Linked DNA regions of Mus musculus. The protein of the gene in region 3 interacts with the protein of the main gene of each other region in a biochemical or structural test. Links are inferred from orthologs where the notes say so. Each region holds a gene or a part of one and is shown on either strand. Other genes may lie near its edges.

Region 1 (4,890 bases), about 17 Mb from region 3:
GCCAACAGGGAAGTCATGTACAATTTCACTACATCACAGACTTAAATCATAAAACTTTTACATCACAAAGTCAAGAATGCCTGACTCTTCCTCCAATTTTCCTGTTACATAACCAATTCTGAAATAAAATTGATCTAGCTAACATTTAAAAATGCAGCTAAGAGAGTTGGGTGGTGGTGGTGCACACTTTAATCCCAGCACTCAGGAAGCAAAGGCAGGTGGATTTCTGAGTTCAAGGTCAGCCTGGTCTACAGAGTGAGTACCAGGACAGCCAGGGTTACAGAGAGGAACCTTTTCTCTAAAAACCAAAGAAACAGCTGAGAACATGGTTGAGTAGTAGACCAGTTGAAGGGCCTGTGGAAAGATGGTGGGTTTAATGTCCAGCAGCACACACAACGTATGAAGGTGTTCAGTAAAATATTTATCTTAAATCTTTTCCATACCAATTCTATCAAAAAGTTCTCCTCCACTACAGTACTCCAGAAACAGATACTGGATATGGCCTTCCCTCCTGTGGCCATAGAATTTCACTACATTCTCGTGGCTTAACATTTTATTGATGCAGATCTCTTTCTTAATATTTTCTGGACAGTCTATGGCCCGCTTCATGTCTACAATTTTCACTGCAACAGCTTCTTCAGTTATTCTATTCACAGCAAGTTGAACTCTTAAAAAGAAAGAGAGAAAAAGTTACAACATTTTCACCTCAGAATTCCCTTTCTCCTAACTCTTCAAAAGATTACTGATACACACCTGTAATTCCAGCATTCTAGAGACAAAAGGGTCCAAGTTCAAACACAGCCTAGACTACAAAGAAACTTTCAAAGAAAAAAAACAAAAAAAGCAAAACCCTAGCAGCGGGTGGAGGTGTCTCTGAGAAGCAGAGGCAAGCAGAGCTCTTGGAGTTTGGTGCCAATGAGATATTTATTCTCTCTACAAACAAAACTGAGGGGTGGGGATACCTGAGGGGGGGCCTGGAGAGAAGGCTCAGCATGTAAGAGCACTTGCTTCAGACCTCAGCCGTTTCCAGCACCCACATGGTAGCTCACAATCATTTGTAATTTCCAGTTCTGGGGGAATCCCACACTTCTGGCCCTCTGTGGGCAAACACTCATCCATATTTTAAAAATGCATAAATCTTAAGAAAAAAAGCTTCAAAAAGTTAGATGTAACACACCCCAAACTATTCTTCCTTTCTTCATCAAGGAAAATGAAATGGCCTCTGCTATGTTCTCAGACGCATTGAGACAAATGTGAAGCATTGCCATTAATGCTCCAAGAAAGTCTTGGAAACTTGGAAACCTTGTGCTTGCAAGTTATCTAATAACTGACCATGCTTTGAAAGACAATAGCAAGTCTACAATACATCACATATACACATGATCTAGTAATACAACAGCATTACTTTACACTTATTAATCTCATGCATATATGCCTGAGCCAACTACTGAACACATCTTTAAGGTAAGAACCATTAATTCTATCATCAGATGAAGAAACAAAGGCACATAAAGCTTGCTCAAGAACACAAATACAGCCAGGCGTGGTGGCACATGCCTTTAATCCCAGCACTCGGGAGACAGAGGCAGGCGGATTTCTGAGTTCGAGGCCAGCCTGGTCTACAAAGTGAGCTCCAGGACAGCCAGGGCTATACAGAGAAACCCTGTCTCAAAAAACCAAAAAAAAAAAAAAAAGAACACAAATACAACCAGGATCAGCTGAGTGTGGAGATCTGAAATTAGGCAGGATGCCGCCAGGGTCTTTTCATTATCTCATTTAAAATTCTAAGACACATGATTTGTTAGGAAAACAATTCTTTTATAAAAGAAAATTTTATAAAAGTAAAATTAAAAAAAAAAAAGAAAGAAAAGAAATTGGACCGTCAAGCACAGGCTTGTCATACCTACCTGGGAGGCTACAGTGTACAAGTTCAAGGCCAACCTAGGCAATTTAACAAGATTTTGATCTGAACAAAAACAAATGTAAGAAGAAATTTGGTGTTTTACAGGCCTAGAAATGTAGCTCATGGCAGAGCATAAGCCCAGCATGAGTGATGCACTAGGTTCAATGTCTACCATCACAAAAGAGGAGGAACAGGTGTGGATGTGCTTCACTCACTCAGAGCCTTGATGTACAAATGCGAATATCCATGCTCTTTGCCACTTGAAATAAAGGACTTTTTTTAAAGTGTGTACTCAGACAACAGGTGGAAAACTAAAGCAAACAAACAGGTAATATTTAAATTAGGAAGACCATGGTAATGGCCAGGCAGGTTAAGCCTCTTGCTGTCAGGCCTAATGATCCCTCCAAACCTTCAACAGAACCAGCTCCTGCAAGTTGTCTTCTGACCTCCACAGGTGCACGCACCATAGCACGACAGACAGACAGACAGACAGACAGACACACACTGCAATAAAAAATTAAAATGAGGACTCAAACTTACTCTCCATAGGCACCTTCTCCCAAAGTTTGCACCAAATCCCAGTCTTCCACAAAAGGCACTGCCATGACTCCAAGCACAGCGACTGTAAAATGCAGGATCCCAGAAAATACTGGGGATGAGTGTAAACTCTCATCACCTGTAATGCCACTGAGCCATGTCTCCTGCTATGATTCCGCACGACTTTCTTTTCATCTTACATCTGAACCATATTTACCCACGTCATAATACTGAACTTGAACATTTTGTCCTGTTTATCACAAATCCTGTTTCCACGTTTGTCCTCCGTCCGCCTTTATGCAAAACTGAGCACTTGCTTGGCTCCAGGGTTGCAAGACAAGAGCTTTCGGGTGAATGATCCGGAAAGGGAGTTGCGGGCAGGTCAGGGTGCGGGGGTGGGGAGCAGCTGGGTGTAACTACGGTAATTACTGCCAGAGCAGCCCCTCCTCCCACCCGCTCACTTCCAATTCCCACCCCAACGGCACGTGTCCCCAGCACCGGGAGGGAACAGGGCGGGGCCAAGCCGCGGAGAGAAGCGGGAGGCAGGGACCCCTAGAGCCGGGAAAGCATGCGAACCCCGGAGCCTTACAATCGCTCTGGTCCCTTTATGCTGGAGAGCCACGGGCCACCCGCTCCAGCCCGGGCTCCGGGCGGCCCTCCCACCTCTCTGCTAGTCTGGACCACTCCCTCCCCGCGCCCGTCCACACTAAACAAGCCCTCTGGGTCCTTTGCTGGAGTTCTTTCCCACTGTTCAGGACGCCCTTCTCACCAAGCAGTCCTTTGCCAGCTGCCACAGGAATCCAAATGCACAGCTTTTCCCGCCAAAACCTGCTTGCGTCATGCTGTCGCAAAAGCGCACACCTCTGCCGTAAAGCGGGCCGGCGCGCGTTGTCCTATCCCAGGCTCTGCAGAGGAGCGACTTCAGTAGACCGACCGCGCAAGGACCCTTCCTTCTAATACTGGCTGAAATTCTGATGTGGCCGTAGTTAAGACACAAGCTGACCAGATTTGGTATTGACGACTGCTTTGGTGAGAACTGATCTCTGAGTCCGAATGAAATGGAAATGGCACGGGGCGTGTGCCACGCCTTACGTTGCTCCACAGAGGCACCGAAGCCTCCATCCAGACTGCGCCACCAGTTGGGCCAAGAACCCAGGTTCCCTGCCACTCAGAGCCTGCAAAGGCTGCACCGTTAAGTACGTAAACCGACCTGCTCTTGACCTCGGAGCCCCAGGGAGGAAGGCTCAAACTAAGCGACACAGAGTGCTCTGTAAACTCAATTGTGCCCCCCTTAGTATTCGAATTGAGAAGCTAGCAACTGCTGCTGGAATTCTGAAAAAAAAAAAAAAAAAAAACGAAGGAAAGCAAGTGTGGTGGTGCATGCTTGTAGACCTAGAACTTGGGAAGCGTAAGCAAGAAGATCTTGAGTTCAAGGCAATCCGAGTTATACAGGGTTAGTCTTACCAAAAAAAAAAAAAAAAAAACGAAGGGGAAAAAAAACCACATCGCCGCGGATGTGTGAGGGGAAAGTGCAGTGAGAGTCACCAATATTGCCTGAACAGGAGGCTCCAGAACCAGTTAAATCTTTTTTTTTTTTTTGGGGGGGGGGGGACACACGACTATTTGCCTGTACTAGCTTTCTTAAACAAGCACGGTGGCCCACCACACTATAGAGATAAAGCAGGAGATACCCAACCAAGATGCTCGCTTTCAAGAAAAAACAAACAGCAAAGTAGACTTAATGGTGACTCATCTATAACCTCAGTCTAGGGAGGTTGAGCCAGGGAAAGTGATTCAGGTTGGTCAGCCTGAGCCAAGGGTGTGTGAGTGTGTGTGATCTTATCTAAAAAAAAAAAAGGAGGTGGGTTGGGGAGCACAATCAATATTCCTTAACTAGGCTAGACTTATGGCATAATGGTAGAATGCCTGCCAAGCATACAAAAGTCTCATAATAGAGAAATGTCAATTCTAAGAAAAGGGACTTGGATACAAAAAATAAGGAAACAATGAAACCATGTGCTGGCTAGTCAAGTGCATTGCCTCTGAGCTACATCTCCAACTCCATGAAATCTAACCTGGAAATGTTTAAACTTAAACCATGTTATCAGTTTAGGGTTCGTGTAATTAAAAACAAGCTATTAGATTATTTCCATTTCTTTGTGATTTCCTGTGTATATTCTGAAATCTACAAGAGGTTGATTTAGTCTTTTTTTTTTTTTTTTTTTTTTGGTTTTTTGAGACAGGGTTTCTCTGTGTAGCCCTGGCTGTCCTGGAACTCACTCTGTAGACCGGCTGGCCTCGAACTCAGAAATTCACCTGCCTCTGCCTCCCAAGTGCTCTTAAATGGAATCTAGGTTCCTCTAGTCTTAAATGGAATCAATGTCTTATTTCCTGGAAAAGACACAGTATCAGAGTTCTGACTTGGAGAAGAGTGTGTATATGTGTGTGTG
Region 2 (4,171 bases), on a different chromosome or scaffold from region 3:
GCAGGAATATCATGAGTTTGAAGTCAACCTGGGGTAACCAGGGAGATCTAGGTTAGTCCCAGCTAAATAATGAGACCATGTTTCAAAAACAGAAAAATTAGTGTATCGTATTCAAGAATGTTTTCTGGGGGAGGCTGTTAAGTCTTGTGGCTTTTTAGTTAATCTTGTCTGATTCCAAAAGCAATAGTCTGTCTTAGGAAACATATAGCTTCACTTTTTAAGCTTCTGATATAAGTGAACATAGAGGCAATGTGATTTCTTACTCGGTTCTGAGGTGCTAATTGGGTCTTCCATCTTTTAACATGTTTATTCAGTCCTTAATCTTCCTCTTAGCCAAACTTCTATCTTTGGAAGGAGCATTAGAATTGACTGCTGTACTAGTCTAAATTGCTTGTAGCCATACAAGTCTAACAAGTCCCTCCCCTCGGGCTGTTCCCCTTCCTATCTTAGTGGTATCATATAGTACAAAAGTAGAGGACTGACTGCACCAACAAGCAGCAATGAGTGTATTCATGGTAGCTTATACAGATTTTTATCTTGCCCTTCTTTGTAAGCTAGTAATTGGGATTCCTAAGCCTTGTGCTTCAGTTTCCCTTCTTCCTTTATATTCAGTATGGCCGCCTCATTGACCTCTGCCAGCCTACACAAAAGAAGTATCAGATTGCTGTGACCAAGGTTTTAGGGAAGAACATGGATGCTATTATTGTAGACTCAGAGAAGACAGGTCGGGACTGTATTCAGTATATCAAGGAGCAACGTGGAGAGCCTGAGACCTTCTTGCCTCTTGACTACCTGGAGGTAAGGCTTGTGAAGGGGTTTGGGGTCAAGGCAGTGTTATGGGCCCCTCACCTTGGCTTTATGTATTCTGTTGCTTCATAAGATTCTTCACACAGGTGAAACCTACTGATGAGAAACTCCGGGAGCTGAAGGGGGCCAAGCTAGTGATTGATGTAATTCGTTATGAACCACCTCACATTAAAAAAGCTCTGCAGTATGCTTGTGGCAATGCCCTTGTTTGTGATAATGTGGAGGATGCTCGACGCATTGCCTTTGGAGGTCACCAACGCCACAAGGTATGCACCCTCCCCCCCTTTCTCAGGTTGGAGTTGGACAGGCTCAGTGTCTTAGTCAGGGTTTCTATTCCTGCACAAACATCATGACCAAGAAGCAAGTTGGGGAGGAAAGGGTTTATTCGGCTTACACTTCCATACTGCTGTTCATCACCAAGGAAGTCAGGACTGGAACTCAAGCAGGTCAGGAAGCAGGAGCTGATGCAGAGCCATGGAGGGTGCTCTTTACTGGTTTGCTTCACCTGCTCTCTTATAGAACCCAAGACTACCAGCCCAGGGATGGTCCCACCCACAAGGGGCCTTTCCCCCTTGATCGCTAATTGAGAAAATGCCTTACAGTTGGATCTCATGGAGACATTTCCTCAACTGAAGCTCCTTTCTCTGTGATAACTCCAGCTGTGTCAAGTTGACACAAAACTAGCCAGTACAATTGACCCCTTGTCAACTTGACACACAAACACATCACTAGTAAGCCTCAACCCTTACATTCTTATTCATCCCCATTATAAATAACTTTAAAAGTCCCACAGTCTTTACATATTCTTAAATTTTCAATCTCTTTAAAATCCAAAGTTTTTTTACAATTAAAAGTGTCTTAACTGTGCGCTCCACTAAAACTGTTTCTTCCTTCAAGAGGGAAACTATCAGGGCACAGTCACAATCAAAAGCAAAAATCAATCTCTAACTGTCCAATGTCTGGGATCCAACTCACGATCTTCTGGGCTCCTCCAAGGGCTTGGGTCACTTCTCCAGCCATGCCCTTTGTAGCACACGCGTCATCCTCTAGGCTCCAGATGACTGTACTCCACTGATGCTGCTGCTCTTGGTGGTCATCTCATGGTACTGGCATCTCCAAAACACTGCATGACCCCTTCAGTCCTGGGCCTTCAATTGCAACTGAGGCTGCACCTTCACCAATGGCCTTCCATGGCCTCTCACAGTGCCGAGCCTCAGCTGTTCTGCGTGACCCCTTCATGCCTTCAAAACCAGTACCACCTGGGTGACCCTTACATATTACCAAGTCCCGCTGCAGCAGGAGTACAACCTTGGCCATCTCTGGAACACAGCCTCTTTGTGCTTTCAGAAAACACTTCCCAGAAGATGTCACCTCAATGATGCTGGTCTCTTCTTAATCACCGCTAATTTCTTAGCTCCAGCTAACCAGCATCAATAGTCCCAGTAATGCAAAGTTTTTGCTTTAGTAGTTCCGGTATCTTGTTAATCACAGCTGATTCTTTAGCCCCAGCTAACCAGAACTACAGAATCTTCACAATCAAAACAGCAATGGCCCTGAAAAGAGTCTTTAATTTTCCCTCTGAAATTTCACAAACCAGACCTCCATCTTCTGCAGTGTTCTCAACATTATCTTCCAAGCTCCTACACAACATCCGACAGGGCTCTTAACAATGAATGGATCTTCAAGCCCAAAGTTCCAAAGTCCTTCCACAGTCCTCCCCAAAACATGGCCAGGTTGTCACAGGAATACCCCACTCTGCTGGTACCAATTTGTCTTAGTCAGGGTTTCTATTCCTGCACAAACATCATGACCAAGAAGCAAGTTGGGGAGGAAAGGGTTTATTCGGCTTACACTTCCATACTGCTGTTCATCACCAAGGAAGTCAGGACTGGAACTCAAGCAGGTCAGAGAGCAGGAGCTGATGCAGAGGCCATGGAGGGATGCTCTTTACTGGCTTGCTTCACCTGCTCTCTTATAGAACCCAAGACTACCAGCCCAGAGATGGTCCCACCCACAAGGGGCCTTTCCCCCTTGATCACTAATTGAGAAAATGCCTTACAGTTGGATCTCATGGAGACATTTCCTCAACTGAAGCTCCTTTCTCTGTGATAACTCCAGCTGTGTCAAGTTGACACAAAACTAGCCAGTACACTCAGTATTGGAGATTCCTATGTTCACCTTCTTCTCTTCTCTCCCTGATGCGTATAGACAGTGGCGTTGGATGGCACCCTGTTCCAGAAGTCAGGAGTTATCTCTGGTGGAGCCAGTGATCTCAAGGCAAAAGCACGGCGCTGGGATGAGAAAGCAGTAGACAAACTGAAAGAAAAAAAAGAACGTTTGACAGAGGAGCTGAAAGTAAGGCACAAGTAACCCTGACCCTTAGGAGTAGGGTTCCTGAGCTCAGGTTGGCCACTTAGCACATGGTCCTTTTTTCTTTTCTTCTTTAGGAGCAGATGAAGGCAAAACGGAAAGAGGCAGAACTGCGTCAAGTGCAGTCTCAGGCCCACGGGCTTCAAATGCGGCTGAAGTACTCACAGAGTGACCTAGAACAGACTAAGACAAGGCATCTTGCCCTGAATCTCCAGGTAGGGGCTGGCCTTCAGCCTGGCCTCCCATATCATCCTAGGTTTCACTGGGACTGGGGAATTATCCACTTTTCTTCCATTTCGTTCAGGATAGCATAGCAGAGTATAGTCAGGCACTGGGACGGGGTGGAGGTGTCTAGATCTTCTGTCCCCTGTGTTTATTCCATTAAACAACTTACTTCTTATTGTCAGTTTTATCTTCTTGATCTAACAAATGGAAAGTATTGTCTATTTTGTGTGGCTATTGCAAAGATCGAATGAATTAATACCTATAAAGTTCTTAGAACAGTTGACATTAAATAAATGTTAGGGACTGTTATTAGCACATTCAGTCACTAAATATTGGGACTTCTAAAAGTCAATTGAGAGTGAACAACAGGGCCAGTGTAGTGGCCTATACCTGTGGTCCCAGGACATTGGAGAGAAGATTGGAGCATTCAAGGCCGCCCTGAGCTGTATAGTGGGATCACATCTCAAGGGAAAACACACACACACACACACACACACAATGATCTACAGGCATTTCACTGTCTGTAGGTTGTGTACTGTTACAGCTTACTCAAACTAGAATTGTTACATAATACCTAGACTTACCTTCTTGTGAAAAACAGTCCAACTTCTAAAACTTATTTGGCCCAGGGGTTATCAATAAGGGATTAATGGACCTATAACTATTACTGTACGTACACCCATCCGTATAGATTGAAGGTGGCTGAACTGGGAACGGGGGAAAATATGAGAGTTCTAACAAGAGATTTTTGGAGATGTGACTTGGGCAT
Region 3 (4,171 bases):
CAAACCCAGATCCTCTGCAAGAGCATCAAATGCTCTTAACCAGTAAGCCATATCTCCACCCCTCTAGCTGCATAAATTATACACAGAAAACCTGGTATTTATTTCCACATGATATCATTTGATGTATTTGAAAATAACCATAGCATTCCTGAGTGATCTTTCCCTAAATTAAATGGACCTAATTCCTTCAGCTCATTGACATAGTTTTAATTTCACTTTCTCTTTAATATTCTTGAGTTTGTTATTTCTTAAAGAGTGGCATCAGTCTTGTAGTATTATCTAGTTGGTACAGCCTACAGCATATTTGTTTCAGTTTTGTTTTTTGAAATAGGGTCTTTCAGTGTAGCCCAGGTTGGCCTCAGATATGTGATCCTGGTGCCTCATATCTTCTTCAGTTCCTGGATTGCAAATATGTGCCCCCATGCTGGCTCTGTACTTACTCATTCATTCATTCATTTTCGTGCTCACGCATATATGTGGTGGGTGCACACGGGTATTTTGGTAAATGGGAGGTCTGCTTGTGTTTTGGAGGTTGCTAAATAGTCCAGGTTTTCTGGTCAACAAGCCCCTGAGTCCTGTCTTTTTTGTGCTAGGATTACAAGTGCATGCCACAATGCTCAACTTTTTTATGTAGGGTCTGGCAGGTCAAATGTAGGTCCTCATCCTTGTAAGGTAAGCATTTTACCAACTAAGCTATCACCCCAGCATTTATTCTTTACATTTATTATTTTGAGATAACACTAGCCTCTTGTAGTCAAATTTAGTCTATTTACTTGTTTTTTTTTTTTAAATGTTATTTTTGTTTGTTCTTTTGCAATGGTAGGTACAAAAACCCATGGTTTATGCATGCTGGGCAGTACTGTGCTACTGAGTTTTAATCTCGACTGAGAGAATTAGGAAATAAAAACATAAATTTTAAAACAATTGTGTTTGGCAGAGAAAGAGAATGTTCTGGGCAAAAGGAGACAGAAAATTAAGATTTCATCTTAATATTTATGAAGTTAACTTTATTTATTGTCTATTGTTGGTCTTGGGCATTTGTGGTAAATTATTCCTTTCCAAAATCTGACAGTACAACAAATACTGTATATAAAAAAGTATTTCAGAAACTGTGGGAGAGATAGCCAAGGACTATAGAAAAGGATCATGCAGACGTGGGCATTGTCATGGGTCACACGCCCGGAATCATAAGCCATGAGTGAAAGCTGCTATTTATACTGTGATAGCATTGCGTACTTACCATAGCCTGACCCTCCTGAGTGTAGCCAGTCTCATCATTAAGAAAATGCTAATCTAACACATTTTACTTATGCATATTGAGTTTCATCCTACCTGTAGTTCAATTTCAAAATGAAGTCAGTACTGAAGAAACCATGGTCTTTTAGTTTCGATGTCAGTATGATTTTATAAAAAGCAAGCCAGTAAGGAATATCCCTCCATGGCCTCTGCATCAGCTCCTGCTTCCTGATCTGCTTGAGTTCCAGTCCTGACCTCCTTTGGTGATGAACAGCAGTGTGGAAGTGTAAGCTGAAAAAACCCTTTTCTCCCCAACTTGCTTTTTGGTCATGATGTTTGTGCAGGAATAGAAACCCTGACTAAGACAAATTGGAAACTACAAAATAAACATTTTAATTTCTGTAGCCTTGGCTATAGCCTTTACCTGGAGTTACAGGCTGACACACCCTAAAGGTAAACTTAAACCCTGCCCTCCCTTTTCTTTAGATAGGGTTTCCTTGTGGCCCAAGATGGTCACTTTTATTTTTTAAGATTTATATATTTATGTGTACACTATAGCTGTCTTCAGACACTCCAGAAGAGGGTGTCAGATCTCATTACGGATGGTTGTGAGCCACCATGTGGTTGCTGGGATTTGACTCAGGACCTCTGGAAGAGCAGTCAGTGCTCTTAACCACTGGGCCATCTCTCCAGCCCCACCAAGATGGTCTTAAACTTACTTACTGTATAGTGAAGAATGATACCTTAACCAGAATCTTGCCCTAACCAAGGACTATTTGGATTATTGGTGTGTAATACTGTTCCTGGCATAATTTTGTTTTTAAATGTAATTTTGTGATCTTTAAAAATATACATTTAGGGGTGGGGGAGATTACACTGGCTGCCTTTCCGGAAGACTTGGATTTGATTCTTAGCACCCACATGGGAGCTCTCAACCATGTATAAATTCAGTCCTTAAAGATCTGGAGCCTTCTTCTGATTTCTGAGGCACTGCATGCATGCAGTGCACAGACATACATGGAAGCAAAACACCCATGCACATACCCATTTTAGAAGAACATTTATTAGCAATGAATTTTCAGAATCTAAACTATTGTGCTGTTAAAACTTCAGCCTTTTCTATATGTATGCTATTTGTCTTCTGTTTAGATGTAATGGAAATAATCTTGCTTTTTAGAGTAGCTAGGCTATTCTTAATAGAATATTTCAAGATTATTTTAATAAATTTATTCATAAAGCTGCTCAGTGACTTAGAATCCTTTTAATTCCAGTGCCACAAATTGTGAGTTCAGTATAAAAATTAATCTATTTTTGCTGTATTTTTAGAGGTTGGTAAATTTAATCTTTAATGGTGCTATCTAGCAAATGTTTTCTTTTTCTTTAACTTTCTGGGTCATATATTATCCATTGCAGATACTCATTTCTTGTCATTTACAGTATTAAATGCAGAAATGTGATTGTGTTCCAGTTAAACTTTATTAACAAAATGGCCAACCAGTTGAATTTTACTTAGGGGCTACCCTGTTGAGAGAAACTATGAGAGTGAGTTAAGAGAAACTTGCTGAATGGAATCACTTAAAGAAGTTGGCACTTAGCTGGGCGTGGTGGTGCACGCCTTTAATCCCAGCACTTTGGAGGCAGAGGCAGGTGGATTTCTGAGTTCGAGGCCAGCCTGGTCTACAAAGTGAGTTCCAGGACAGCCAGGGCTACACAGAGAAACCCTGTCTCGAAAAACAAAACAACAAAAAAAGTTGGCACTCTGAAGGAGTCTTTATTTTTATGATCTATACATTTTTACTATTTTGTTTTATTTTTAAATAGGAGCACCCAGGCTAAAATGTCAAGACCTCTTGAATTATGTCATGGATACAGTGAAAGACTCATCTAATGGTCTAACGTATGGAGCTGACTGTAGCAACATACTACTCAAAGACATTCTTTCTGTGAGAAAATACTGGTGTGAAGTATCTCAGCAACAGTGGCTAGGTATGTTTTGAAGCCTGTGATTTTTTCCCCCCCTTATAAGATGAAATTTCAACAATAAAAGCAGTCTATATCCCACAGACGACTCAGAGTTTAATATTATATTGATGAAATTATATCATTGTAGTTTCAGAGCCTTCATTTTCTTCCTTTTCAAGTAACATCTTGCTATATATCCCATTCTGGCCTTCAACTTGTAATCCTCTGCATTGGTCTGTTAAGGCTGGAATTATAAATATGGACTACCATGCCCAGTTCTTAATTTTCATTTATTATGTACTTTGAAAAGCATTAAGACAAGCTGGTGAGATGGCTCAGTGGGTAAGAGCACTTACTGCTCTTCCAAAGGTCCTGAGTTCAAATCCCAGCAACCATATGGTGGCTTACAACCACTCGTAATGAAATCTGATGCCCTCTTCTGGTGTGTCTGAAGACAGCTACAGTGTACTTATTTATAATAATAAATAAATCTTTGGGCGAAAGCGAGCAGGGACTGAGCGAGCAGGGTTGACTGAAGCGAGCAAAGATCCAAAATTTAATTCCCAACAACTACATGAAGGCTCACAACCATCTGTACAGCTACAGTGTACTCACATACATTAAATAGATAAATACATCTTTTTTTTTAAAAAAGTATTAAGTCACATTGTTTATAGTAGGTGTTTACCACTAGAACTGGAATTACAGATTTCAAAGATTACTGCTCTGTTTTCAAATATTCAGCCGTCCAGTGACTGAGAAAAATAGTCAGCTAAAAATTACCATGCCATTCACTCTCTCCAGGCTTGTTTACAGTGTGTACACAGAACAGCGATACCTTAACTGAGCCATAAATAAAGGAGGAAACCAAAAGAGAGATGTCACAGAGGTTGAAAGCAAGGGTTCTGAGTTAAAAGGGTTGTGGTAGATACTTTAAATGTCAGAGGAAGGATAACGTGCAAAAGTATTCACT
Region 4 (4,171 bases), on a different chromosome or scaffold from region 3:
AATTAAACTTGTAACAATAAAATTCATTGGGTTTTAGTTGCCATTACCCAGGGAGGAGCAATACAGCTGGCTAACAATGGTACGGATGGGGTACAGGGCCTGCAGACATTAACCATGACCAATGCAGCTGCCACTCAGCCGGGTACTACCATTCTACAGTATGCACAGACCACTGATGGACAGCAGATTCTAGTGCCCAGCAACCAAGTTGTTGTTCAAGGTAATAGAATTAAGAATTCATACATATGGTACATTCTTTTAAAAATTAATGTGTATACTCATGAAAAGTAAGTATATTACAAAGCACTACTAAAATAGTTTTCTTCAGTATAGATTTAGATATTAACAGTTTAGATATGCATGTATTTAATACATAAATATCTCTCATGCAACTTTCCACTCAGATGAAAATGTCATGGCATAAAAACAACTATCTTTTAGCTTAAAAGGGGTTTTTCCTGTCTTTAATGCCTTCAGTAGTCAGGATTGGAAGAACCAAAATATGTTAGAAGAGAACTGAGGAAGTTATAGCCAGGCTGAATGGCCTCAAGTAACACTAGCTCCCCTGGGCCCCTTTCTTTCCCTCCTCTGTGTGCTATGTCACTATTAAAGAGTTCTAGTGGATTCTGCTGTTTTATCTGTTTTGTCTTGTTTTTATTATTTTTAATTTAAAAGGAATATAGAGCTTTTCTGAAGTCATCAATTTGGATTTTGGATAAGAACAAGCATCATTATGCAGATCCTTGCTCATTGGAGAACAAGTTGTCCTTTAGCCTCGGTGGACGAGAGGATTTTGTTTTGTTTTGTTTTGTTTTGTTTCCCAAAATTTCAAGAGTCTGGAGAGTGTTAACTATTCAGCATTAATTCACTGAGCAGTTCATAGTTCAATATTACCAGATTAAAAATTTATAGATTAAAAAAATAATATTTGCTTCTAAAAATATTTTATTAATAATAACTAATGTTGCCTGTGTTAATGAGAGTTATATCCCTTCACCATGGATAATTACTTTTGGATCATACCACAACACCAAGTAGAACATCTTTTGTTTAACAATGTCTAATAAATTTATACTATATATCTTGTTATTAGACCAATGATATTTAAAAAATATTTTGCTTATTAGTGGGAGTAAAACACCTTTTCACTTTACATGCAGGTACTCAAAAAATTGTAAAGCAGGATGTCAGTGAATTTGAATTCTCAACGTCAGTTTGAATATGGTAACATGTTTAGTATATAAATCTTTGTCCCTCAAACGATACAATCGGTGTTTTTAACTGATATGAATGATTTTATAAAGACATTCAAAATCTCTCACATAGTATTAGGGTACTTATGAAAGCATATCATGACACTGTTTCTAGAAGCAAATAATGGACAAATAGTGATTTTTTTTTTCACATATGGAGATTGTATGGTGAGGAAAACCCAAACTACACGCCTTTAATTCCAGCACTTGGGAGGCAGAGGCAGAGGCAGGTGGATCTCTTGAATTCTAAGCCAGCCTGGTCTACATAATGAGTTCTAGACAGCCAGGGCTACATAGTAAGTCCCTGTCTTAGAAAACTGAAATGAAAACAATTCAGCTTTTACTTACTTAGTTTTAGTCACTTATATTAAGATATGTTTACATATACCATGATTGGCAGCAAATGTCCAGTTTTTCATACTTGGAGTTTTGTTTGAATTAGAAATTTATAACAGTTTCTATATGCTTATTTTTTTTCTTCTATTTTGCTATTTTATGAAAAATCATGGTCGTTTTTATGTCGTGGCAAGAGTCTACTTGAGTTTTTTGGGTTTTGTTTTAAATGTGAATTTATGTAAAGCAAGGGAAGATACTGAGGCCTGTGTGGGAGGACATCTCTGCTCAGCTCCTTTAGACTTAAAGCTGACAAGCATGCAAACCACAGACTGCATCTCCCTCCCAGCACAACATGAATAAGACCCGCAGGGACGCTGAGGCACCCTGCCCCGTACCTGTACTAATAAATAGGACAGACAATTGGAGTCTTCTTCTTAGATAGAGTCCCATTCCCTGTTTCCCTTTTAATCTAAGTATGTTTAGATTGATTGAGACACAGTTGAATTAAATTGTAGTGTTTCTGTGTCTTATACCTTGTTCGCTCTTCTCTGCAGCTGCCTCAGGCGATGTACAAACATACCAGATCCGCACAGCACCCACGAGCACCATTGCCCCTGGAGTTGTTATGGCGTCCTCCCCAGCACTTCCTACACAGCCTGCTGAAGAAGCAGCACGGAAGAGAGAGGTCCGTCTAATGAAGAACAGGTACAGATTCCAAACACTTAAATGCTATGGGTCAAGTATGTCTATAAACTCTTCTGTGTGTGCCTTTACATCTGCTAACAGTAGGTTCTGTGCATTGATTTTCTTTTTCTGGTAGAATTAGTGGATCTTGCTAAAGCTTCTTTGTTTATTAAGTTGCATTTATAAGATGGCTAATGGAACTTTAGGTCAGTCTTCAATCAAAAAAGTAATTTTTCTTCATAGTTTTTCCACAAGAGAAATACATAGCTTTAATGAATTTGTACTTTATTCTAGCTAATAGGATATGTTAATTAAAAAAATTTGTAAGTAATATTCATCAAAGTGTCACATATGTATACTAACATTAGACTCTAGTTTATTTGCATTAAATTTATTTATAACAAGTATACAGTAGCCATTTTTGTTTTAATGAATACTTTCTTTTGCATTTTTATACACTTACAGATTTATTTATGCATGTTTTATGCATATGTGTCAATGCCTACATGTATGTATATGTACCACATTCATACCACAAAGGGCAGAAGAATGCATTAGATCTCTTGGAACTAGAGTGAGAGGGGTTGGTCAGCCACCTGCCTTGTTCTTTGTTTGGGGTCAGAGTCTTGCTGTGTGGGCCAAAGTTGCCTGGAGCTCTTATCCTCCCGCCTCTGGGAGTGAGTGCTGGAATCACAACCTTGGGCCTGGCCTTAGGGGCAGGGGCTTTCTTTACTCAGTAATAACTTAACATCCAAACACTTTTAAAACAGAGAAATTCTAAAAAGTATGGTATTCCCGACAAAGCCTTAATGCACAGTTAATGTTAGTCTTAAGAAGTTAAAGTGGTACAGAAGAGAAGCTATAAAACACAGGTAAAGCCTTTCTTAGAAATTTATTTGCTTTCAAATGTTTTTGCCATCTTAAAAAAAAGGAAGTTATTAATGTGGAAATGATCAAAACAAAACAAAACAAATGGTCTGAGGAGGCCATCGTTGGTTAATGTGTTCACCATCCAAGCAAGAACACTGGAGTTCAGATCCCCAGAACCCATATAAAATTCTTGGTAGGGCCCTGTAATTCCTCTGATGGCACAGGTGGGGTTTTCAGGGTAAGCTTGTCTGTAAGCTCTGGGTTGAAGAAACCATGACTCAAGAGTAAGCGAAAAAGCAACATTAGGGAAGATAGCCTGCACACACATAAAACATGTGAGTAAACATCAAGGGGCTATAATGGGGGAGGGAGGTGAAAACTAAAAGAGAATCAAGGTGTATAGAGATGTAAACTATTTAAATTCTTCTTTTTACCCCAAGAGTGTAAGAACTATGATAAAGTAAATGAGACAGAAATTGAACTTAGCAGATCTAACTTCAATTCCTGCATTCACCCTTTAGCTATGACTCTGGAAGAATACATTAATTTCCTAAACTTGGGTTTCTACCTTTGAGTAAAATAAGATCTCTCCTTGCACCCAAAGCTTGGCTCTCAGGGTCAGGTAAGACAGCACATGGCATCTCTACTGCTCCTTCTCTTCCAACAATTTTATTTTTGGTAGGTCAGCATCATTGTTCCTGAAATAGTCTTAACTGTCACAGTCTTAGTAAATTATATCTAGCTATGAAAAAGGAGAAACCCATTCTGAGATAGTAAGGGAATCTTGAAAAGAAGCCCTGTGACCTTTATTGTGCACCAAACTGTAGTCTCCCCTCCCCCAGCCTGAAACCTGCTTGCTCAGGGGTGGAGCTTCCCACTCAATCGTTCTGCCACGCCCACTGCTGGACCTGCGGCTTTGCTGTTTGGAGCCGTGCACGTGGTCACCCTGCTATTTGACCCCAAGACTAATTGGCGGGAATCGGGCCCCCTTCCCCTGCTTCATAACTGCGTGTAGAACAGTAAAATAG
Region 5 (4,892 bases), on a different chromosome or scaffold from region 3:
CAAAGGACAACTCTCAGGAGCTGGTACTTGAGGCCTCCTCCACAGGAGCGTCCTCCTTGCCACAGGAGTGCTGGGATTGCAGATGTGCCATTGCGTTTGGCCTTTTGTGTGTTCAGGGTTTAGAGCTCAGGTCGGCAGGCTTGCCCCTCATGTGCTCTACCCAATGACCATTAAACAACTGAGCACACAGGACTGCGGGGATGGCTCAGGGGTTAAGAGGGCATGTTGCTCTTGCTGATCACCTGAGTTAGCATTACAGAATGGACACGGACACGGCCAAGGGACAGCTGCCTATAACACATTTAGGGACCCCCCAAGACCTCCTCTGGCTTTGGAGGCACCTAAACTCATGTGCACGTACCCACATACTTTCTAGAAAACTAAACACATGCTCTAGTGCTCGATCAGCTTTTAGACGAAGGTGTATGACTCATATAATGACTGGTTGAAATCACGGGAGACTGAGAGGGAGACAAAACTGGGGGCAAGACAGCAGGACATCTTTGGATCTTTTTAACTGTGGCCATGTATGGCCATGAGGTTTCTTTTGTTTGTTTTCTTTTTTTTTTCTTCAAGACAGGGTTTCCCTGTGCAGCCTTGACTGTCCTAGAACTCACACTGTAGACCAAGCTGGCCTCAAATTCACAGAGATCCACCTGCCTCCACCTCCCAAGTGTTGGGGTTAAAGGCGTGTGCCAACCCCTCCCCCAGGTAGGGTTTCTTTCTTTGAAAACATGAACATGTTATCTATGCCCTGGATACAAGCCTGTGTGTGCGTATGAACATGTGTGCTGGAGTGTGTGCTTGTGTGTGTGTGTGTAGAGGACAACTTGTAGGAGTTGTGATGGAGCAGCCTGACTCCACCTTAAGTTCTGAAGCCATCTTATCATACTACCAAAATAAGTCCATTCCTCTTTTCTATAAAACTTAATTTGACCAGGTCTTGACCAACTTTCTGAATTTCGACAGGTTCCACACCCTATACCCTGATTTCAGTCTGATAGACGTTCTGCCAAATAATGCTGAAATGTTCGACCAAGTGCCTACATAACCCTTGAAAATGTCCATATTCTTGCAGTTTTGGGGGTTATATAAACCTCACCTCTTGTGTTCGATGCTGTTTTCTCATTTTGTATTTGTTTTGTTTTTTCGAGACAGGGTTTCTCTGTGTAGCCTTGGCTGTCCTGGAACTCACTCTGTAGACCAGGCTGGCCTCGAACTCAGAAATCCTCCTGCCTCTGCCTCCTAAATGCTGGGATTAAAGGTCTGTGCCACCACTGCCCGGCGATGCTGTTTTCTCAAAACCCCAGTTTAGCGAGATAGCCATCTCTGACAAAATTAAGCTTGCTTAATTTGACCAAAAATTGTTTAATCATTTCTACTCATCTTCAGTGGGATTAACAGTTGAGCCTCTCCTTCCACCATCACGCAGGTATTTATTTATGAATACAATATCACTATCTTCAGACACACCAGAAGAGGACAGCAGATCCCATTATAGATGGTTGTGATCCACCATGTGGTTGCTGGGAATTGAACTCGGGAGTTCTGGAAGAGCAGAAAACTAGCAGTTTGGCGGGAAAAGGGGGCTAGCGAGCGGCGGAAGTGATGTAGGGTTGCATGCGACGGAGATGGGGTGTGTGTGAAGAATGCTTGAGGATGGCCCCGGAAGTATCGTTTTGATTGGTTGTTTTCTTGAATACTGTCCTATCGGAAATTTGCCCTCAGTAAAGATGGCCGCGCATGCTTCCATTCCTTCTTGGGGCCGGGTGTTTTTCCTAAGCTTGGCCTTGATACCGAAAAAAAAAGGAGGGGACTCATGAGTTCTGATTGGCTGAAGGTAAATGTGTCCAGGGCGCTGATTGGCTGTCCCTTCGCGGGAAGGAGTTTGTGGCGCCAGTGCAAAGTAGCCAGAAGGCTGCCACGCCAGAGCGGCACAGAGTTCCCAAGTGTTCTTAGTTTTCGTGTCCGAGCGTCTTGGGCCGCTCTCTCCGGAGAACTGCGACCAGGATGTGGAATAGTAATGGCGGGCGTGGGGAGAGTCACGCGAGGGTGTTGGGAGTGGGCGAGTCTGGCGCAGGAAGGCCGGGACGGAGCGAGAGGCCCGAGGCGGGCTCGGCGGCGTTCGCGGGGTGGCAGGGGGATTGTCGCGGCTGGGGCGGTGGGGACAGCGGTCGCCAGGTATAGAGATGGGGAGCGCAGCGCAGACTCTGACGACGGTCGTTCCCCGCAGGCGGATTCGAAAGCTTCAGCAGCTCCACCTATGGCGGAGCAGGCGGCTACACGCAGTCCCCCGGTGGCTTCGGGTCGCCCACACCGTCGCAGGCGGAGAAGAAATCGGTACGTAGACTGACGGCTCCGTTCTCATTTGTGTCCTGGCCAGGAGGGAACGTGTTTTCGTGCGGGAGGGTGGCACACCCCAAGGTGTCAGAAGCTGTCCGTTACCTACCTTGTCTTTTGTATGGTCAAGTGGGGAACAGGGTTTTTATTATTTTATTGTTTGGCAAGCCTGCAGTGGTTCGCCCGGCCTCCATTTTCCTGGCCCTACCACTCGAAAGTATGCTTTAGTAGAGTTTAATATCGCTGTCCCCAGGGCACAAAAATCCCTGAAGAACAAGAGTCCACTGTGTTCAGAACAGGTTTGGGGTTGTTTCCTGTTGGTAACTGACAGGAAGGACACGCTAAGCCTTAATCTGCTGGGCTTTTTCTGCCTCGTACATATTCATTGTATGACCAAGTGTTTTGGAGGTGTTTGTAGCTCTGGCTGGCCTGGAACTCAGAGATCCACCTGCCTGTACACTGTAGTTGTCTTCAGACACACCAGAAGAGGGCATCAGATACCACTACAGATGGTTGTGAGCCACCGTATGGTTGCTGGGAATTGAACTCAGGACCTCTGGAAGAGCAGTCAGTGCTCTTAACCGCTGAGCCATCTCTCCAGCCCAAAAAGATCCTTTCTTAAAAAACAAACAAACTACATTGCTCGTAGGTGGCTTGAGAGGCAAGTGTCTTTGCTAGATGCTCCTCTGCCCACTCCATCTGACTCTCCTGTTAAGATGCCCAAAGATGAGCAGCTTGACGAAACTCACCAGGTTTTCTGCAGAGACTGCCATCTGGTTGCCAGAATATCTCCTAAAAGAAGCTATACTTCTAACTTCTTCCATTTTATCAAGAAACCTAGAGCATCTTCGTAGTCCTTTTTCTGCTTGTCATTTCTCAAGCCTTTTCACAAGGCCCTGTTGTCTCCGTGGTGTCCTGAACACTGCTCTTGCTATGTCTGGGATGTGCTCTTTCTACCCCTACCTCTCTGAGACAGTTGTTTTCTTGTTGTTGTTTTGTTTTGGGTGTCTGTGTGTGTGTGTGTGTGTGTGTGTGTGTGTGTGTGTGTATCCTTGGCTGTCCTGGAACTCACTCTATAGACCAGGCTGGCCTTGAACTCAAGAAGTCCACCTGCCTCTGCCTCCTGGGTGCTGAGATTAAAACCATTTGCCACCACTGCCTAGCCCTGGGATGCGTTCTTTTTTTTTTTTTTTTTTTTTTTTTTTTAAGATTTATTTATTTATTATATGTAAGTTCACTGCAGCTGTCTTCAGACACTCCAGAAGAGGGCATCAGATCTTGTTACAGATGGTTGTGAGCCACCATGTGGTTGCTGGGATTTGAACTCCGGACCTTCGGAAGAGCAGTCGGGTGCTCTTACCCACTGAGCCATCTCACCAGCCCCCACCTGGGATGCGTTCTAAAGACAGGCTATCCTATGTTGTCCTGACTCTAGTCTGACCTTTTCTTTGTGAACCCACAATAGGATACAAACATATATTCACCTGGAGGTCTAGCATCAGATCCCTGTGGGCTTGAATTCAAAAGTGTGGCATTCGCCGTGTATAGTAGCACACACTCTGAATCCTAGCACTTAGGAGGGAGAGGAAGATGAAACAAATGTTAACTTTCTGGCCCTGTTTTCTGTCTCTTTTTAAAGTAAGGAGAACTTGGTTTTGCAATTCCAGGAGTGTGGTATATTCAAGTGCTTGGCACATGGAAATATTAAATGAGTGATTGTTACTCTCTTGGGTTGACTGTGCGTACTTTTTCTTTTCAGAGAGTCCGAGCCCAGCATATTGTGCCCTGTACCATATCCCAGCTGCTTTCTGCTACTCTGACTGATGAAGTGTTCAGAATTGGAGATGTCGAGATTTCACAGGTCTGTAAGATTTTGTGGAAGAACCGTTTAGAGATAGGAAATATGAGGGGTGGGAAGATGTCTGCGCAAGCGTGAGGCCCAGTATCAGATCCGTATGCATGTACAAGGCCAGGCTCGCTTCCCCTGGGTCCTGTAACTACGAAGCTCAGAGACGGGAGGGTCCTAGGGCCTTGCTGGCTCCAGGTTCAGTGAGAGACTCTGTCTCAAGGGAATAAAAGCAATAGTGCTAGACCTGGACAGCCAATGTCCTCCAGCAAGGGCATTGCTCATCTGTCTGCTCATTTGTGCATACCCTTCACGCATATGCAAAGAAAAAGGAGTAAGACTTGCTTAATCGAAAAGTATGTAGCAAGTGACGTGCTCTGTGGGTGAAAGTGCTTGGGCCTTTAGCACAAGTCTGATTACCTGAGTTCAGCCTCCATATTCTACATTAGAAAAAGAACCAGCTCCCTAAAATAGCCTCTGACCCCTGGGCCATGGCACACATACACACAATGGTAAAATAACAATATTTTTGTGGAAAGTATTTTTTGTTTGTTTGTTTGTTTATTTATTTATTTTTCGAGACAGGGTTTCTCTGTATAGCCCTGGCTGTCCTGGAACTCACTCTGTAGACCAGGCTGGCCTTGAACTCAGAAATCCGCCTGCCTCTGCCTCCCAAGTGCTGGGATCAAAGGTGTGCGCCACCACC
Region 6 (4,171 bases), on a different chromosome or scaffold from region 3:
ACAGGCTCAGCCTACTGAGCACAAATTGAAGGACACAAAAGTCAAGAAGGAGGCAGGCAGGGCAGGGGTCTCAGATGGGTCAGTTCTGGAGAGGAGCCCCACTCTTGGAGAGGACAGTGACACAGAAGTGGACGAAGATCACAAACCTGGGTTTGCGGACAGTGAGACAGATGTGGAAGAAGAGAGGATCCCTGTGACCCCCCCTGTAGCCCCTGTGAAGAAAAACCAAGTGCTACTTGCAGTTGGTATAGGAGATCCTGAAGCACCTGGTGTGGCACATCTGCAGGACTGCCTAGCTGGTAGTGGCACAGATGTGGAGGACAAGACTGCACTGGATGTCCCTCTAGAGAGAAACCACACACCCATGGTGATCAACAGTGATACAGATGAGGAGGAGGAGGAGGAGGAGGAGGAGGTCTCAGCAGCACTCACTTTGGCCCATCTGAAAGAGAGAGGAATTGGTTTGTGGAGTAGAGACCCAGGCGCAGAAGAGGTCAAGTCCCAACCACAGGTCCTTGTAGAACAAAGCCAGAGTGCCTCTGGGAGAGACAGTGACACGGATGTGGAGGAGGAATCCTCAGGGCGAAAGAGAGAGATTATCCCAGACAGTCCCATGGATGTAGATGAGGCTCTTACTGTCACACAGCCAGAGAGCCAGCCTCCCCGTAGGCCCAATGATGCAGATGAGTACATGGATATGAGCTCCCCTGGCAGCCATCTAGTGGTAAATCAGGCCTCCTTTGCTGTGGTAGGCAAGACCAGAGCACAAGTGGAGGAGGAAGTCCCAGGGCCATCTGTTATCCTGGGGGAGAAGCACCAGGTGCCTCTAGAGGGAGCCCAGCCTCCTGAGGAAGCCTGGGAAACAGCTGTTCAGGAAGGCTCATCCTCACCAGAGGCAGCAGCCTCTGTAAGGCCTAGCCAGCAGCCAGTAGCAGAAGATGCTGGGACAGAGTGTGCTACAGCTGTTTCTGAGCAGGAAAGTACTCTTGAGGTGAGGTCCCAAAGCGGGTCACCTGCAGCACCAGTGGAGCAAGTGGTGATACATACAGATACTTCAGGGGATCCCACCCTGCCACAGAGAGAGGGAGCCCAAACCCCCACAGGAAGGGAGAGAGAAGCACATGTGGGCAGGACCAAGAGTGCCAAAGAGTGCTGTGATGGTAAGTGTTGCCCTCTGCTCTGCCTTTGGCCCTTAAAATAAATTGGGTATAAGGATTAGGAGAGAACTGTAGAGGTCTTTAGGATGAGAGTTGATTTTTCATCTGTCTCACATCTCTTCCCAGCAGAACCTGAAGATCTGTGCCTTCCAGCTACCCAGTGCTTTGTGGAAGGGGAGAGCCAGCACCCAGAAGGTGAGGACATTGTGTGGTGTGGATGGGAGCACCAGGAAGAGCTGGGTGATGATTACACTGATGGGCCTTGAAAGGCGATGTGGCCAAGTAGGGTATGAGACCCTGGCGTTCTGGGACCAGCTGTGTTCTACCCACCTTTTCTTCGGCAGCTGTCCAGAGTTTGGAAAATGAGCCTACCCAACTCTTCCCATGTACTCTTCCACAAGAGCCAGGACCTTCCCATCTCAGCCTTCAGACTCCAGGTACAAGGAAGTCTCTCTGAATTCCCAACTTTGCCTGCTTTCTTGTTTTCTTCCTCTGCATCCTTTCATATACTGTCTGTTAGATTTACCTATGTTACATGTATGAGTGTTTTGCTTGCATGTATATATATATATATATATGTTCACCATGTGCATGCCTGGTGCCCACAGTGGTCAGAAGAGGTCTTATTCCCTGGAACTGGAGTTGTAAGCTGCCATGTGGGTTCTCAGGACTGCTAGAGCCACCAGTGCTCTCTCTTCAGCCCCTCATATTCTTGTTTGTTTGTTGACAAAGAGTTCCTGTAGCTGAGGATGACCTTGAACTGCTGGTTCTCCAAGGGCTGGGATTACAGGTGTGTGCCACCCAGCTAGGGATGGACGAGGACTTCATATGCTTGCTCGATGAGCTCTCTAACCACTGAGCTGTATCCGCAGACGCACTTTTCATATTCTTTTGTTATTCAAGAAAAGAACCTATACCAGACATGGTGACACACACACTTGTGATCCCAGAACTTGGGAAGCAGAGGCAGGAGCCCAGGGCCATCCTGGACTACATAGAAAGTTTGAGGCCTTGACTGAATGAGACCTTGTCTCAAACAACAACAACAAATCCAACAAAATGGGCTTGGCTCAGTGGTTAAGAGTGGCAATCATCTTAGAGGACCAGAGTCCAGCACCCATGTCAGGCAGCTGGCAACCATCTGTAACAGCACTTCTGGAGATTTCATCACTCTCTGGGTACCCCACACACACATGGTATACACATATACATGTGAATAAAAAATTTTAGAATAAGTCTTAAAAAATAAAATAACAAGTAAAAATTAGATTGCCTAGATTACTCTGATTCTAGTTCAGGAGATTTGGGGTTAACCCAAAAACTCAAAAATTTTTACACTCTACATTCTCTCTGGAGATTTAATCAGGGCTTTATGCATGCCAAATGAGTATTCTCCTAAAATGAGTGTTTTCCTAAACCACATCCCCAGTCCTTGTTTTTCAAATGAAGTTCCTGAGGGAAGCTGTGCGTGAGGTTATAATCTCCTGAATAGCATTCAGTGTTAGAACCACCACCCTACTCCCAGCTTCCCTTTTGTAACCCATGTAGCTGTTTGCTGCGAGCCTGCCTTCGTTCTCAACCTTAGTGCCTTTTTTACCTGTGTACTTATCTCCTTTCTCTCATCCTGTTTAGGTGCAGATACCTTGGATGTGCCTTGGGAAGTCTTGGCTACACAGCCGTTCTGTCTAAGAGAACAGTCAGAGACTTCTGAGCTTCATGAAGCTCATGGATCTCAACCATCTCTGCCTAGGGAACCACCAGGACACCAACATCTGGTTCATACCAGCCCAGTTCACACAGAGCTGTTGAGAATTGAAGGCAGAGAGATACAGACTGTGGAGAAAGCCATGGGTATACCAAAGGAAATGGCAGACAGGATGACCCCTGAGAGAGAGCCATTGGAGAGGGAAATCAGGGGAAGAACAGAAAACAGTGAGAGAGATGTGATAGGAGAAGAACTAATTCAGGGGACAAAGGACAGAGAGCCAAAGAAGGTGTTAGCTAGAGACAGTCAGAGAAAAGAGGCTGACAAGGATCTTGAAGGGAATAGGGAGAGTTTGGAGGTAGAAATAGAGATGTCCAAAGACTCACAGAAGAGAGAGAGAAAAGTAGAGAAACCAGAACCAAAGAGAGAATGGGAGCCAGCTGATTTAGAAGTGACTCCAGATAGAGGGGTGACAGAGGAAGGGAGCCATGATCAGAAAGGGCAAATTGCTAGTCTAACACTAAAGCCTGGAGTTGGGGTGAAGGACCTTGAGGGACTTGCATCAGCCCCAATAATCACAGGGAGCCAGGCAGATGGAGGAAAGGGAGACCCTTTGAGCCCTGGGAGGCAGCAGAGAGGTAAGTGTGAGGCAGGGGAGCCAAGGGGTATGTAGTCCTCATGGCAGTTAGTATCTGAGCTGCGGGCTGCACAACACTCAGCCAGTCTTGTTTTATTCTTTGACTAGGCCGCTTGAGTTGCCAGACGACACCTGCTGGAAAGGCTTCCAGGGTGAGCTGCTTTCTTATCATTCCTCTACAGCCCTTTGCCTAGCCTTCCTTTAATCTTTCTTTGTCTATACTTCCCATTTTCTCACTGCATGTACATTTGTGCATGTTTGTGAGGGTTTGTGTTTAGGGGCAGTGCATGATGAAGGCAAGTGATAGTCTTGTGTGTTGTTCTTCAGGGACTACCCAGCTTTTTTTTTTTTTTTTTTTTTTTTTAAAGATTTATTTATTTATTATATGTAAGTACACTGTAGCTGTCTTCAGACACTCCAGAAGAGAGAGTCAGATCTCGTTAGGGATGGTTGTGAGCCACCATGTGGTTGCTGGGATTTGAACTCCGGACCTTCGGAAGAGCAGTCGGGTGCTCTTACCCACTGAGCCATCTCACCAGCCCACTACCCAGCTTTTTAGAAGGGTGGTGGTGGTCAGGATCCTAAACTGGCTTAGAATATGCTGAAGTAGACTAAGATTCTTGCCAGCAAGCTTCAGGAATTCTCCTATCTCTACCTCTCTAGCATTGGGAT
Region 7 (4,171 bases), about 42 Mb from region 3:
TATAATAATAAATAAATCTTAAAAAAAAAGTCACAAACAGGTAAATATACCATAAATAGAAGAAACCTTAAAATAGTCAAGCTCATGAAGATAAAATAGTGGAATGAATATTGCCAGGGAATAAAAGAGGAGAAATGGTAAATTATTGCTTATTAGGTGTAGAGTTGCTGCTTGGGAAGGTTAAAAAGTTCTTTACATGAGTGGTAGTAATGTGCTGAACTTAATTCTATAGAAGTATATACACTTTAAAATAATGAAATAGTAAACATTATGTAATTTATATTTTATCAAAATAAAATCAAAAGATGTTTTCTAAAATTGATCTGATCCTAGCCAGTGTTCCTTTTGTGAAATTCCAACCTTTGTGGCATTTAGAATAAACCTCAGTTTTTCTGTGTCTCCTTACGGCTCTTCTAGCTAGCCTAGGTATCTCTCTGGTCTTATTAATCACAATTGCATTTATATCCCAGGCTTCCATTAATCTGAGCTGTGTGATCTCCAGTGATTTAACTTCCAGAGCATCCTCAGATCCAAATTAGGCTTAGTATCTTACCTTGTTTTATAGGGTTTGTGTTAGCTCATTATATCCAAATATTATCACACTCATATGTAACTCATATAAGACGATTAATGCAACATTAATTCTTTTGTCCAAGTATGAGTAATCCAATATGTATCTTATATACATCTTAATTTGGAATAACCTTCTTTTCAAGTATTAAATAGTCATATGTGGCTAATGGCTGCCATTTTGAGCTGCACATTTCTAAAATATGAAGGTTAGCTGTCTGCACTGGCATTTAAGACTTTCCCCGCCCCAAATTAGTAATATCTTTAGATTTTCACTTTTAAGAAGTATAATACTGTCTATGTTAACATTTAAACCAATCATATTTGTTAGGTTCAAGTTTAGAGAGCTTTTGTACAAATTGAAAAGTAGGTCCTTTTAAAGATGAAATGCTCTTTGCTGGATTAGTTTGTAGAGACAGAATCTCTCTAAATAGCTTATGCTGGCCTAGAATCACTGGCCTTCTGCCTCAGCTTCCAATTATAGGTATGTGCCACCATACCTCTAATAAAACATTTTTACATTAATTTATTTATTGGGAGGGAGGGTCACACACATCACAGTCCATGTGGAGGATGACTCATGGGAGTTACTTCTCCCCTCCCACTATATCCATCCGGGGATGGAACTAAGGCCAGGCTTGGCAGCCTGCCTTTACCTGCTAAGCCATCTTGCTTGCTCCCATAGTGCCTCTTTTAACAAGCTTTACTTTGTATTTCAGTGCTACTCCAGAAGAATATAACACTGTTGTACAGAAACCAAGACAGATTCTCTGCCAGTTCATTGACAGAATACTTACAGATGTAAATGTTGGTAAGAGGGAATTATTTCTTCCATGAACTTCAATGGTTTTCCGTGTAACATTGTACTACCTGTTTTTCCTCTAGGCAGTTTTAGTCAGAGTTAGTTTTTGTTATAGATAGTAATTTCCAGCAAATTGTTACTCAGTATTGCTTATTACTTAAAACATAATGTAATTTAGGCTTTAAAATCAAGGGTGTGTTTCTATTATTCCATGATTTTTCTACTGGCTTCCTAGAATTCTTTAATGCATTAGTTATAAAACATTTGACTGGGTCCAATCATATGGGCTTTATCAACAACTTGCAAAAAAAAAAAAAAAAAAAAGTGAAATTTGGTACCAACACATTTTGTGATTTATTATAACCACTTAAACTTTGTTCTTTTCAGTCTACAAAGTCATAGGTTGCTAAAATGAGAGCAAAGGGCTATGAACACTTGTAAGATATGGTTCCCTCTGGGTCTCCCTCTGTTCTCACCACTTGCCTTTTCCCTCAGCCATAGGAACTCCTTCATGGGATCTTTCCAGAATTGTTTCATTTTATCCTGAATTACCAAGTCAAACTACTATTTTTAATTCTTTGACTCCTTCACCAGATTATTGTTTTTGTTTTGTTTTATCTTAAGCATGGTGCCTGTCATCTTACAGGCCTATATAACAAATGTTTGCAGAATGGGCTATATTATAGATGAATGTATATGGTTATTAGACATTGAAAATTAAGTGGTAGGCTGGAAAGATGACTCAGACATTAATCTTGCTGCCTTTAAATTCCCACCACAATCTTAAAAAGCAGCTGCAGCAATGCACACCTGTGATTGCTGCAATTCTCACAGTAGATCTGTGGAGCTTCCTGGTCCAGCCAGTCAGCAGGGCATGGTGGCCCACGCCTTTAATCCCAGCACTTGGGAGGCAGAGGCAGGCAGATTTCTGAGTTCGAGGCCAGCCTGGTCTACAAAGTGAGTTCTAGGACAGCCAGGGCTATACAAAGAAAAAAAAAAAAACCTGGTCCAGCCAGTCTAGCTAAGTTGGTGAAGTGTAGGTTCAGTGAGATCTCTTGTCTCAAAAAATAAGGTAGAGAATGATTGAAGCAGACACCCAACATTGACCTCTGACTGTCACATTCATCACACACACACACACACACACACACACACGAACATGTACATAGACATATACCATACACATACACATACTAGATAATAGGACTTCTTCATGTATCAGTGTAGCATGAGTACTCCACTGGACAAAGTTTTGATTACCAAAATTTAGTTTCTTAACAAAAGCTCTATATTTTGTCATGAGTTTTTAAAAAGAATCTTTTATCTCTTAGTTGCTCTAGAACTTGTAAAGAAAACTGACGCTCAGCCGACCTCTGTGATGTTACTTGATTTTATCCAGCACATCATGAAGTCTTCTCCGCTTATGTTTGTAAATGTGAATGGAAGCCAGGGCCAAAATGAGGCCAAAGACAGTTGTATTGGTAAGTGCTGTTATTTTATGTTAATCCTTAACCAGTTTTATTAGATCTCCTTTGCTGCTTTTCTGAATATCACATTTATATAATTACATGCTCCCACAAGTCATATTTGCTTTTGGGGAAAAGTGGTAGCAGTTTTGTTTTTGAGGCAGGGTCTCGTATGTACCTTTGGCTGGCATAGAATGCATTTGTAGACTAGGCTAGCCTGGAACTCAGAGATTGGCCTGCCTCCTGAGTGCTGGGATTAGACATATGCCAGCATGCCCAGCTTCAGCTACTTTTTTTTTTTTCATTTTGACAGTTTTACTAGAACATCATCTCAAATTACTACAAAGGTTTTTTTTTTTTTTTTTAGACATTCTACTCAAAAATACTTATACCAGGTGTAGTCATGCATGCATTTAATCCCAGTGCTCAGTAGTAGAGGCAGGAGGATCTTTGAGTTGGAGGCCACCTGTTCTACAGAGCAAGTTCCAAGTCAGCCAGGGCTACACAGAGGAAACACTTTCTTTAAAAACCAAAACCACATCCCTAACAAGATCTGACTCCCTCTTCTGGTGTGTCTGAAGACAGCTATAGTGTACTTACATATAATAATAAATAAATCTTAAAAAAAAAAAAAAAAAACCAAAACCAAACAAAACAAAACTTAACTACATTGCCTTCTAAGAAAAATTTGCTTTCTGTATGTTAAAGCATTTTTCTAGACTTTTACTGTATTGTTACTACCCCATTAATCTGCCTGCTCCTCACTTTCTGATTCTCTCATAAAAGGATGCAGAACAAACTTTTTCCTATATAATGAAATATTTTAAAATTTGTTAATAGTATCTGCTTTGATAATATAGCCTTCAAAAAGTGTTTTCTGGGGGATGGAGAGATGCCTTAGTGGTTAAGAGCACTAACTGCTCTTCCAGAGGTCCTGAATTCAATTCCTAGCAACCACGTGGTGGCTCACAACCATCTGTAATGGGATTCAATGCTCTCTTCTGGTGTGTCTGACGACAGCTATAATGTACCCATATACATAAAATAAATAATTCTTTAAAAAAAAGTTTTCTGACTCATCCTGGCCACCTAGGACTTGTTTTCTTTTTTTTGCTGCTGAATTATATGTTCTTATTATTGATGTTCTGTATTTCTTCTGTCATAAGTTCTTAAATTATACTATAATCACATTTTCAGTTTCTGTTATATTTTCTAAAGTATGGACAACAACTCACAGTGGGTTATGAACTAACTTTAAAGCTAGTAACATTTCAAACAAACTGAGCTGGGCATGGTGGCACACACCTTTAATCCCGGCACTTGGGAGGCAGAG

Evidence for each region.
Region 1: of the proteins of Atm (region 3) and Chek1, one has a biochemical effect on the other in vitro, tested with the Homo sapiens proteins (2 studies listed by BioGRID, with this or other methods). The link is inferred for Mus musculus from reciprocal best matches to the Homo sapiens genes ATM and CHEK1.
Region 2: the proteins of Atm (region 3) and Smc1a form a complex in vitro, tested with the Homo sapiens proteins (2 studies listed by BioGRID and IntAct, with this or other methods). The link is inferred for Mus musculus from reciprocal best matches to the Homo sapiens genes ATM and SMC1A.
Region 4: of the proteins of Atm (region 3) and Creb1, one has a biochemical effect on the other in vitro, tested with the Homo sapiens proteins (2 studies listed by BioGRID). The link is inferred for Mus musculus from reciprocal best matches to the Homo sapiens genes ATM and CREB1.
Region 5: of the proteins of Atm (region 3) and Rpa2, one has a biochemical effect on the other in vitro, tested with the Homo sapiens proteins (3 studies listed by BioGRID). The link is inferred for Mus musculus from reciprocal best matches to the Homo sapiens genes ATM and RPA2.
Region 6: the proteins of Atm (region 3) and Mdc1 form a complex in vitro, tested with the Homo sapiens proteins (2 studies listed by BioGRID, with this or other methods). The link is inferred for Mus musculus from reciprocal best matches to the Homo sapiens genes ATM and MDC1.
Region 7: of the proteins of Atm (region 3) and Atr, one has a biochemical effect on the other in vitro, tested with the Homo sapiens proteins (2 studies listed by BioGRID, with this or other methods). The link is inferred for Mus musculus from reciprocal best matches to the Homo sapiens genes ATM and ATR.

The regions. Positions count from the first base shown.
Region 1 is NC_000075.6:36,723,354-36,728,243, forward strand, and holds the start of Chek1 (serine/threonine-protein kinase Chk1), read right to left. Parts: upstream 3,306-4,890; 5' UTR 3,210-3,305; intron 2,526-3,209; 5' UTR 2,509-2,525; coding exon 2,444-2,508; intron 668-2,443; coding exon 444-667; intron 230-443; exon of another isoform or gene 1-229. UniProt on the Homo sapiens protein: Serine/threonine-protein kinase which is required for checkpoint-mediated cell cycle arrest and activation of DNA repair in response to the presence of DNA damage or unreplicated DNA.
Region 2 is NC_000086.7:152,033,087-152,037,257, forward strand, and holds part of Smc1a (structural maintenance of chromosomes protein 1A), read left to right. Parts: intron 1-612; coding exon 613-798; intron 799-893; coding exon 894-1,073; intron 1,074-3,015; coding exon 3,016-3,162; intron 3,163-3,254; coding exon 3,255-3,392; intron 3,393-4,171. UniProt on the Homo sapiens protein: Involved in chromosome cohesion during cell cycle and in DNA repair. Central component of cohesin complex. The cohesin complex is required for the cohesion of sister chromatids after DNA replication.
Region 3 is NC_000075.6:53,526,224-53,530,394, reverse strand, and holds part of Atm (serine-protein kinase ATM), read left to right. Parts: intron 1-3,057; coding exon 3,058-3,222; intron 3,223-4,171.
Region 4 is NC_000067.6:64,574,036-64,578,206, forward strand, and holds part of Creb1 (cyclic AMP-responsive element-binding protein 1), read left to right. Parts: intron 1-37; coding exon 38-220; intron 221-988; exon of another isoform or gene 989-1,184; coding exon of another isoform or gene 1,185-1,224; intron 1,225-2,143; coding exon 2,144-2,294; intron 2,295-4,171.
Region 5 is NC_000070.6:132,766,447-132,771,338, forward strand, and holds the start of Rpa2 (replication protein A 32 kDa subunit), read left to right. Parts: upstream 1-1,913; 5' UTR 1,914-2,010; coding exon 2,011-2,020; intron 2,021-2,233; coding exon 2,234-2,340; intron 2,341-4,099; coding exon 4,100-4,201; intron 4,202-4,892. UniProt on the Homo sapiens protein: As part of the heterotrimeric replication protein A complex (RPA/RP-A), binds and stabilizes single-stranded DNA intermediates that form during DNA replication or upon DNA stress.
Region 6 is NC_000083.6:35,847,506-35,851,676, forward strand, and holds part of Mdc1 (mediator of DNA damage checkpoint protein 1), read left to right. Parts: coding exon 1-1,160; intron 1,161-1,283; coding exon 1,284-1,352; intron 1,353-1,501; coding exon 1,502-1,594; intron 1,595-2,789; coding exon 2,790-3,500; exon of another isoform or gene 3,501-3,607; coding exon 3,608-3,651; intron 3,652-4,171. UniProt on the Homo sapiens protein: Histone reader protein required for checkpoint-mediated cell cycle arrest in response to DNA damage within both the S phase and G2/M phases of the cell cycle.
Region 7 is NC_000075.6:95,860,080-95,864,250, forward strand, and holds part of Atr (serine/threonine-protein kinase ATR), read left to right. Parts: intron 1-1,289; coding exon 1,290-1,381; intron 1,382-2,703; coding exon 2,704-2,853; intron 2,854-4,171. UniProt on the Homo sapiens protein: Serine/threonine protein kinase which activates checkpoint signaling upon genotoxic stresses such as ionizing radiation (IR), ultraviolet light (UV), or DNA replication stalling, thereby acting as a DNA damage sensor.